Linked DNA regions of Drosophila melanogaster. The protein of the gene in region 1 interacts with the protein of each later gene in a pairwise test. Each region holds a gene or a part of one and is shown on either strand. Other genes may lie near its edges. The genes, in order: CG18649 and CG9782.

Evidence for each region.
Region 2: the proteins of CG18649 (region 1) and CG9782 interact in a two-hybrid assay, tested with the Drosophila melanogaster proteins (one large-scale study listed by BioGRID).

Annotation. Positions count from the first base shown.
Region 1 is NT_037436.4:15,052,905-15,056,260, forward strand, and holds CG18649 (uncharacterized protein), read right to left. Parts: upstream 1,232-3,356; 5' UTR 1,200-1,231; coding exon 921-1,199; 3' UTR 664-920; downstream 1-663. Other genes in the region: CG43680 (uncharacterized protein), read right to left, coding at 242-391; EAChm (enhancer of acetyltransferase chameau), read left to right, coding at 1,918-2,553.
Region 2 is NC_004354.4:16,615,543-16,623,476, forward strand, and holds the start of CG9782 (uncharacterized protein), read right to left. Parts: upstream 6,048-7,934; 5' UTR 5,805-6,047; coding exon 5,788-5,804; intron 803-5,787; coding exon 288-802; intron 117-287; coding exon 1-116.

The DNA.
Region 1 (3,356 bases):
GTCGTGGTAATATGTGCTAATATAAAGCAAAATAAAAAATCTGATATCTCCAAATCGAACTTCAAAACGTTTATTGATTTCATTTAACTTATAAAGACCAAAAAACGTATTTAAAAGTTTTACCCTGAATAAGTTTTATTTTTATTTTCTTTATTGGTGATTTATCAGTTGCTCATTTCATATTTTGTGTTTGAGAAATTGCATCGGGGGAGAATTTCTAAATATTTTTGTATTTTCGAATTTAAGCCGCTGATGTTGTAGAGCACCAGTCAACTGGGGCTTTTGGGTTGACAATAACGATAACTTCTCCACTTGGATGGGGAAGTGGGCTTGCACTCACAAAGGCCATGGCCAAAAGAGCAATTATCACGAGTACCATCAGAAAGTGCATCTCTATTTCGTAGACTTAGTTCTTCTTTGAATAAGTTTTTTCAAAGTACTGCACTTCTTATATATGAATGCCGTGTTTGCTTTAAAATTTCTATTGCAAACTGCACAATGGCTGCACCTTACTAATGTTAAGTAAATATTTGAGAGATAAAACATTTATTGATCTATTGAGCCACACATTACAGGCAGAAAATTATTTCTTTTTCCCTGCGCTGAAATAAGAGTATTAAGAGTGGCTTTGAGGCCAATTAATTAAATAAAAATTGCATTTTTAAGATTTTGTTTAGTATGTAATTCTTTACAAAATCATTTAAGAGCTGTATAAAAAGAAGTTAAGTAAAAAGCACCAATTATGATGGGTGTTTCCAGAAATGTGTGTATTTACTAGAATAACATAAAAACCTTTACTTATTTGGTTGTTGAAGATGAACTGTGTATTTCTGTGTAAACAGTTGTTTAAACGTCTAACGACCGGTGAAAGCGTGTAGATAAAGACAATAAAGAATAGAAAGGGTTAATTCCCATTAGAGCTACTCTTCATCTTGATTGTACTGGATGCTCTCGTCGCTTTCGGAATCATCATTGTTCTGGGAATCGTCCTCCGGGGATTCAGGCTCATCTAAGTCGTCGTCGGACTCGGGTTCATTTGAATCCTCATCGTCTTTCTCATCATCGTTAGCATTATCCTGCTCATCAGCAATTCGTTTGTCCTCCTCGAGGTCCTCCAAGTCGTCAATGTCCACCGGATTTGCGGAAACTGTGGCCAAAAGCACACATCCAAACAGGGCAAGCAGCAAATAGGCACGCATTGTATTGTCAAATTTAGTTTTCAACTAAGTTCAGTTCCACATTGAAAATACGCTTTTATAGCAAAATCTCTAAATTGGCAGAAAAATAAAAGCGCGCATTGTGACAATTTATTTGGTTCGTTTTGTGTTTACCCCGCGACAGCTGTTGCCTTGGTTTGAGCGTCAAAAAATGAGGCAAAGTCGTGCGTAAACATTTGACTGACGGAACTTGGAGAACGTATAAAGATTACAGTGAAACGTGGCTAACGTCATACTTTTATATACAATATATTGTATAACCTAAGGAAAGCAAACACAGCATGTTATAATCCATAGTTAACTTGCTTATGAAAATGTCTATATCAAATTAATGACTCCTTTTTATTTCTTTGTAGAATAACCACTGTTCCACCTACAATTGTTTACAAATTTTGGGAATGGCCCTCCATATTCTTATTTTCTGATTCATAGCACATTAGCTTGTTTTGCTCCGCTTACTCGAAACTTCTTAATATTTACTCACATGTTCGGTGTCGTATTTGTGGTAAGCCAAAAACAATAACTACTTCTAACTAAATATATCGTAGGCCATGATGGAACCTTGACGATTGTTAGCATAATGTAATCATGTCACAATAAATCGATCGATTTGGACAACTTTTTAAAGATATAAAAACAAAGATAAGCTAATTGAAAATCATAGTCTCAGTTGCACTCAGCCTGTATACTTTTGATAATCATGCAATCCATAGCATTTGCTCTTCTGATCTTTGCCGGTATCCTTGCCTATGGCAATGCAGCTCCCCAGATGAATTTGGGTTGGCTGCAGGCCGTCCTGGCAGAGGCTGGTCAAAGGAATACGACGGTTAAGTTTGGAAACAACACGGTGATCATTACGGGAGTGTCCAATTCCGTTGCCAACAGCAACCAGGGAAATACTACCCCATCGTCACCACGTAACCAATGGAACAACAATTGGTATCCGTACTATAACAACGGTTACTATCGCATCATGCCCACCATCAATGGTCAGATTGTCGAGGGTCCACAGTCCAGTGCAGAGGAATCCCACGAGATTTCCCAAGAGTTTTCTCATGAGATTTCCCAGAGTGACGAGGAATCTGGCGAAGATCAATACCACCAGGAGGATCAAACTGAAGAGGACGAAGACGACAACGAAACAGATCTTTCAGAGGACCAGCTTGATGACCTAGAAGAGGATCAGCTCGATAAAGAGAAAGAGTTGGAAGATGGCCATGACCAATCCGAGGAAGACAACGAAAATGAGGATGAACTGATCGATCCCGAGGAAGATGCTATTGACCAGGTTCTAGATGACATCGAAAAAGAGATAGCCGCTAGGGAAAATGAATAGGCACTGAGCCTTATTGAAAGTTTTCATAAAAAACCACTCCACTACATGTTACATTATTTTCATTTCATATTTTTGGGATCAGTCATTTATAAAAATAAACAGTTTATTAAAAAAATGGATTTTTATTTGAAGCATATTTTTAGACGAACGATATAAAATTCTTTTTAAAATAACGCAAATTTTAAATTTCCATAAATTGTTTAGAATTGAAGAAAACGTAATATGTTTTTCCAATAATTTTCTGTGACAAATTAAATGTTCTTAAAGAAGCCGCAATCATAAAATTTCAGCTTAAGTTGCTTATTTGCGTGGGGCAACTGGAAAAACGTAATGATGTTTAGTTGAATGCACAATCTGTGAAAAAATCTAGGAAAGTGAAAGCAGTTCGTGTTGGAACATCCAGATGCCATTGGAGGGAGCCCAAGGACGAGGACAGCCATTGACGACTTGTGCGCAATTGTAAACAGTTCCTGGAGGCGGTTAAAAGGGAAGAAATGTTGCCAACGAAGGAGTCAACAAGAAGGATAAAGGTAAAAGTGGCAACGGCAGTCAGGTGCTCGTCGAACATAGGCGAATTGCATTATAATGCGGCGCGTGTTAGTAATTTTTAATGCTGACAATGAGATTATAGATTTACCCAGAACGGATAAAGACATTCAATTTCTTTTTTTTTGCATTGGGTTACACTAGGCCATATCTTTTACGATACCAAAAATTGTGAGCGTGGCACCGCCCCTTATATTTAATTTTGTTACCAAAATATCTTTAAGGTAAAACCAAATATTCGGGATCAATTTTTGACC
Region 2 (7,934 bases), on another chromosome or scaffold:
GGGGCGCTTGGGCTTCGTCTCCTCCTTCTGCTGCTGCTCCGATTCCTCAGCGGCGGCATCCTCCACCGCCTCCACGGGCGTCGCCTTGGCGGGCTTCGACAGCTTGCGACGGCTCACTGGGGATAGTTAAAGCGTTAGTTAGTAATGGATTTAATAACTTGATATAGAGAGATGATTTTAAAGATTTCTATTCTAGTTTAATGTCAATTATTTCAAAATTAGTAAATTCAGAAGGCACTGCTAGTCCATTTAGAGCAAAATCCTGGCCTAATCCCTGACTAACTTACATGCTGAGTTGCCCTTGTAGCCCTTGGCGGGACTGGATGCTGGGGCGGGTGCTGGCGCGGATGCCTGCTCCTCCTGCTCGCCGGAGTTGGACTCGTCGCTCTTCTTGGCCGGCTTGCTGGGACTGGGCGGCTTCTCGGCACGGTGCTTCTTCGCGTTCGCCTGACGGCGCTTCAGCGAGTTGAGGAAGTCATCGTTGGAGCGGAACGGCCGGATAACCGGGCCGACCTTTTTGGGCGCCTCCGTGGTGGTGGTGGTGGTAGAGCTGGCAAAGGACGCCTCGTCGCCCTCCTCGCCATGATCGCCGTGCTCGCCGGTTTCCTCGTCATACTCCTCGCCCTCGCCGCCGGCATCCGCTTGTGCTGGCGCCGCTGTCGTCGTGGTTGTCACCTTGGCCGCCTTCCCGACCGGACGGCGCAGGGCGGCGATTCTCTTCGCCGGCGAAACGGCGGGACCACCCTCCTCCTGAGCGGAGACCACTCCGTAGCACAGGACGCAGACGATGAAGAGCAGGCAGCTAAGTGGATTAAAAAAAATATAATAAATTATTAATAATTATATAATTATACTGCAATGAAACAAAATTATTTAATAATTCATGCCAATCGTATATAGCTCCTATTTTAAATACTTATGCTTTTACTCATTTAAATACTTTGAAAACTGCCAAAAATAGCTCATTAAAAACCATTGCCAAAAGTGGAACACCATTTAATTACTGAAATAATTTTCAAATGGTTAAAAAGACAAAAAACACACTTCCTTATACTTAAATTAAATTATACTTTAAATAAGTATTCTGAAGGTTTCTTGAAAAATTCGATCTTGCTATCATTAGTCAGTAACATTAGAATTTAAATGCAAGTGCCTATTTGTTGCCATGATTAGATGCTTAAATATTCAAATTTTACATAAATCAATACTGAATTGTTGCCATTAAAATCCCATTGGTTGTTTATACGAACAATGTTTCGTTAATTACGAGTATTATTTACTGGAATAACTTGAATTTCGAAGTCGCTGGTGCAATGTACCGCTCGACTTTCGAATCGATACGAAACGGATCTATTCGAATCGATTCAGTGATGGAATGGCATCTGGTGAATCCCCCGGGCAAGGTTGGCCAACATCTACACGCATCTAATCCTCGTGACTTCCAGCTCGAACCCAACTCTTGGGCGATCGGACGGACGGGACAGGTCTGGTTGGACGGGTTATTCAATACAGAACCTGAAGTCGTAAATATTGTGTACATAAAATACATATGTGCCCGCCCCTACATATACAGTGGAAACTCTTTGAATGATACGACAAGAAATATGGTAATTAACTGAATAAGAAGCATGAAATTATAATAAATTTAGCAAAGTGAAGATCTAAAACAGCGATATTCAATCAACAATAGGCTTATATGCTTGCAAAATCAGCAGAATTTGTTCTCACTTTTAACTCTATTTAGATTTATCACCTGTAAAGGTCGTAAAGAGCTGGATTTGTTTAGGCTAATAATTAATATTTATTAGTAGTTGCCATTCGGGTTTCCTGTAAGATTTGCTATTTTATTTTTGTTTTTTTTTGTTTTTTTTTTGTATACTTTATGTCGCATGCTGACGGAGGACAGAGATGTGCTAACAAATATTAATGTGTAAAGGTCAGACAAACGGGTTTGTTCACTTTCGATTTCGATTTGGATATGGATTTCGCTTTAATGCCGAATTCGAATGCGAATGAATGTTGCTCCGTATCTGTTGTTGTTGTTGTTTCTACTGTATATATATATTTTTTTTTCCTTATTTCTTGCTTTAGTTAACCACTTTTTATTTCTCTTTGCCGCTGGCGACGATGGCGGCGGCTTCAGTGAGTCAAGTCAATTGCTCATATTTTATGCAAAACAAAAGACTTAGGCAGCGAACTCGTTTTGAAATTCTTTCCTATGGCAACGCTTAAGTCGAGTGCTTTGTTGTTATTGCCGCGATGAGGGGGTGGCCAGAGGAGTGGAAGGTTGGGGGAATGGGGTTGGTACGGCTGTGCAGGGCGTTGCGGTGGGTGAGTGGCCAAAGGAAACAGGTGCTTATGCAAAAGGCAGTCAACAGCGCCACGAGTGGGGCGGGGGAAACCAGTTGGTGGCAGCCAGCACCACGCCAGAATATATTTAAGTGCGCGCTCACAGTTGCAGTTGGCTAATAACGGTAAAATGTGCAAGCCAAGTTTTATTTTTAGCCAACACACATAGCACCGTTGTTCATTTTAATTATTTCTACTCGATTATCGTATCGCTCGTTTCATTTGCATTCGAGCATGCTGCATTTCCCCCATTGGGATTTATTTGCTTATGGGGTCAACTGGATTGGCTTTACATGTGGGAATACATGTGGCTGTGGATATCGATATGAACGTGGATGTAGCTATGGAGATGGCCCAGTTAAGCGACAATTATGCAACTGGCAAAAGGTGAAAGGCGTGGGCCCAAGTTGTGGGTGCGTGCCCGGCATCTTCAACATCCCAGCGACTCCAGCGACTTCAGTTCAGTGCCCAGAGGCGTGCCCAGAAATATTTCTCAAGGGGGCTTGGGCCAACGATTTTCTCTTCGGGTCGTTTAGATCTTTCATTTTGAATGGATCGATCACGTTTTGAATAAAGCTTTTCTTCACTGGTTTAGTTTAGTTCGGTTTAGTTTGTTGCTTATAAACTCACTCATTGTTATTAGTTAATTTCCAATATTTATTATACCATTGTTTTATACGCAAGGCAATATTTGGTATTTATGTATCTGTGGTGTGGGGGATCATATGTCAGTTCTGCAAGTGCTGGGTTTTCCATGACATTTGGCTAGGCACTGGGCATAGAGCATCTCGCAACCGGTTCTCCAGCGGATTGGCCAACGGGAACAATGGCAGGGCGCAGACGACGCCAGTGCGCAGTCCACACCCACAAACAATCCGTTGGGTGGACAGGTAGATAGATGGGTAGGCAAATGGATGCGGCTGGTACGGCGGTACACCGGCAGACGGGCACATTTCTGGTCGCCGTGGGCTGTTTTTAGTGCCAGCCGGTGGTTATATAAGCCGACATTAGTTGCGAATTTATGATAAGCAACTCGCGTTGGCGAGAATTTCGTGGATCAGGCGGAACCACTTATTTAATGCAGCCTCATCGTTCGGCCTCATTATCATCCTCATTTAAAGAGCTTGGTCAACAAATTGGTTTGGCTCTTAATTTATTTCATTTCATTTCGCTTTTGTTTGGTCTCCTTTTGTTTTCCTTTCGTTTCGCACTCTGTTTTGTTGGCTTATGCTGCTTATTTTATTTATTTTTTGTTTTTTTGCCTTTTTATTTCGACTTAATGGGCTGACGTCATTGGGCCTACTGCGGATATGAAAGAACTTCCACACTCAAAAGCAATTTATGCAGCATTAAAACGATTGGTTGTCTTCAAGTTTTAAGAAGCGGAAGTTGCTTTGCTTGAATTATGTATGCATTTCGAGTTTTTGTCAAATAAAAGCTGAAGAAAAACTATAAACTGAAGTCTAGAGGAAACCCATTTAAATAATGTCTTAAAATCTGAAACTATTCGGCCAATATTTCTAAATGTAGAGAAACCTTTTCAAAAAGAAAAAATGCCTCTTGAAAGTGTTGATCTTGAGCTGGGCTCAAAGTTTCCGTAACGAAATGCGACACCTGCCCCAGTTAAGCCATGCACGTTTTCTAATTGCCCTGGAGACCTCATTACGCGTCCACTACCAGCATGCACCTTTGCCCCCCCCTACGGGCCACACCCCCCAAGCCCCCGATCAGATAGTCCCCCCCCCCATTTGGACCATATGTATGTGTAGCCACTTATTACGGGCCAAACGTGCACATTCGACACCGAATCGGATTCAAATTCGAATTCAATTTGATTGTAACTGCTTTTATTGCTGCCGCGTTGGATCAAGTTGAAGTCAGCAAGCCAGTTAAATTGGATGGAGGTTGGATGGGGGTTTGGCCTGGTGAGTTGTTCCAAAATTAAGGCGAAAAGAGCCGATTGGCCGCTTGAGGCAAGTGGGTTCAATAACGGTGCATTGTGTCGTTGTTAGTTGGCCAAGTACGTGTTTTGGTTGCTTTGGTACGTGTTTTTACACTACTACTACTACTTCTGGCTGGCTGGCTGGCTGGCTGCATGCCAAATCGATCGAGTTCGCTGCCTAAGTCTTTTGATTTGGCCCAGAGTGGTATTTTGGTGTTTACGTTTTCGGTATCGCATTGAATTCGCTTTGGCCCATGAAGTGCAGCACATATGTATATTACTCATACACACACACACACACACACACACTGCCAATTTTGCGACTCGAAAGTCCTTGAATCTTGAATGTTGAATCTTGAAGGCATCGCCGTGTATTTTCATTTCTTTTATTTATTTAAAATAAATTGCATAATACACCATGCCGGGGAAATGGAACGGAAAATCCTGATTTAGCCGTCTGCCTGCCGACTCACCTACCAACTCCAACTCCACCTCTCTCCTCGCCATTTCCATGTGATTAATTCCATGCATACAACGCTGCGATTAACACATATAATACATACATATATATATGTATATATATATACACACCCCATTCGAGTGGTATTGCATTTATGCAGATATGCGGTCTGTCTGTCAGCTCGCATTAAAAGTGCAACCGTTAATTTATAAAAGACAACCGCGGTAATTAATCCAATATACTTAATTTGCTGCAGCTGCGAAAAGTCGAGGAAAGCGGTGATCTGGTGATCGGGTGATCTGACGATCTGAGGCGTTGAGCGCATCCACTTCGAAAGGAGGAGCCACTTTAGCTGGCGACCTTGAAACATGGAGCAGACCCCATACCATCACCCCCTCTGCTGTCGCCACTGTGATCGCCTTTTACGATCTGAAGCTTTAACTTTTGCCATTTCTTTGCCGGCAAAATGCCAGCCTCACATCCCGTGACAACTTCATCACATCATCATCATCATCATCGTCGTCGTTGCAATGCTGATCATGGTGATCATCGTTATGACCAAACTTTGGCATTTTAGCCACAGCCACGGAGCTCGGTTCAGTTCCAGTTTGAAGCCACGGCATGTTAAAGTTCAAATTGGCATTAAGACGAGCTTACCTACACCTGCATGTGGTTGTGCCCCATAAAGGTTGCAAGTCAACGTGCTACATGCAACGGAGTCGATTGCCAATGCATTTCGACGGTTGGCAACTAAGTTGGGATTTCGAAAATTAAATATATGTACCAAAGAAATTCGAGAAGTTTAGCGTGCGTGGTGGGCTATGCAAATCAAGCTCAAAGTGGTTCGATTAAAATATTCTTTAAATATTTTTAATTATAAAATGTGTCTATTAATAAGTTACTATTTCTGTTCCAATGTCCTGTTCAGTTTTATAACAATCACTTGAAAAAAAAAATACGATCTCTCCTCATCGGTCACGAAACAATATTTAATATTTTGAAATAAATATATACTATATATTTTTGGATCACTCACATGTTGAAGTACTTCATTTTGTCTTGATGTGTGTGCTCGTGCGTGTTTTTCGATGCGTGGGGAGCGGCTTTGGACCAACAACAAAATGAACTCGAAACGCGCGCGTCTTAAACTTAAACTAGAAAAAAAACACTTGTGTATTTATAATTGATTTTATATATTTTTTTTTGAGGGAGGGGGGCGAGGTTATCGGCTTCTCTGCTAGCGAGCGGTACTGACGACTGGCCACGATCACGATCGACTTCTAGAGGCAGACTGAACGTTACTTATGCCGTGTGCACACAGTTAACCTACGGCCATCCAATATTTTGTGGCAGCGACGGTGACTTCGACGGCGGCAGCGGCTGCGCAACAGGTTCAGACCGCCCTAGCCAAACCGCCTGCCTGCACCTCCAACCCGTGGCCACCGCCTCCTCCTCCTCCTCCGCCAGCGACTCCCAGCCCCTCCACTTCCATCGCCGCCTGCGCTCAAAAGCTCTTTTTGCTTTTGCACGGCGCGAAAAATGTGGTAAGAAACGTCGAATTCTAGCCATACTTTCATCTATAGTCATCAATCAAGCAAGGCATGCGAATTCTTCAGAACTTTTCCTTTTTGCCATATAACATATATGCTTAACTTAACTTTGGTCTGTATTTGTATCAAATTACAAATGCAAATTCATCAGGACTTATTTAGTCAACTGTATAAACTATATTTATACATTCAATTGAATGTGTTTAATATATGTATGTATCCATGCTATATATTTTTAGGAATATATAGAAGTTTATAATACCGCAAATTACTTAGTTATGTGATTACAGATTACTGAAGTTTCCTTGCCATCCTTTCCTTTTTTGTGGATGTGAGCAAAAGAATAATTTTTAATTAATTAAAATTAATTTTAAATTAATTTATGCCGACGTACTTCACATATTCCCTGAATTTTTCCACTAACAAAGAAAATTCCTATGCCCCTTCAATGACATCATTGATTAAATTAGTTTGTATAATTTAACATTATCTACCACCCGCCAAGCTGATATTAAAAATGTAATTCCTGATTTTTTCGCCTTGTGTGCCCAAGCGCCTCGATGGTCGATCTGTGCTGGCAGGAGTACTTCTGGTTTTTCGGAGCCAATTTGTCACGGGCCTGGGCTCTGGTTATGACAGGTTTTTCGTATCCAATCCACTCCAATCCCAGCCAAGTCAAGCCAATCCAATCTGAGTCGAGCTGAGTTGAGTTGAATTGCGTTGAGTTGAGCTGAGCGGAGTGGAGCCGACTCAACATTCGCAATTTGTATATTTTATTAATTAATTTATTGATTTTAGGCCAATTGTTGTTTTGCCTCTTTGCCGATCTGGTAAATCCCGATCGAGCTGACCAACCAATCCCCGAAAGCAGCCGTCCCGCCCGTTGGCCAAAAACACACATCTGTGCCGCATGTAAATCGCTAAGTTCGCGTTTAAAAATTAACCAAATCAAGTCAGTTAATTATCAACGATATGCAAATACCCTAGAAAGTGTAATGAAACAAATTTCAATTGACTTTTGGTCACATGTCAAATGAATTTTTCCACATTAAAAGTTTTCCTTAATAAGAAAGTGAAATAAATACAAATATTAATTTACATTAAATATTTTTACAAGCATTAAACTCTTTGAAGACTAAAATCACTGGACCTCAAATGCAAGTTAACAACTGATCTTTGAAAACTTCAATGAATCTCAATTCTATGGCCACCAAATCCAACCGAAATCCATCTGCAAGTCTGCGGGCCCTGAGTCAATTTAAGGTATGGAATGGCACCAAATTAAAAATCCGTAAAAGCTGATAAAGCCAGAAATATTTATGCATATTTTGTGGGTTCGTCGCGGCCTTGAACTGATTGATCAGGAGTGCTGCAGGGGGGGGGGGGGGGTCAGGGGCGGGGTCTGTAGGGTGATGGCTGCATATGTTTAATGGGTGACAAAGCTGATGGGCGCTAATTAATCTTCCACACCCATCAGCTAACGATCGCTTTGAACTCTTGCAGATGTTCTGCGGCCAGGTGTTGATTTTTTGGCGGCACTTGGCTCAATGGGACATACTAATTAAGCTCCAAGATCCGAGATGCGAGCTCCAAGCTCCAAGCTGTGAAGCCAGCCAGCCGTCTGGCCAACTCA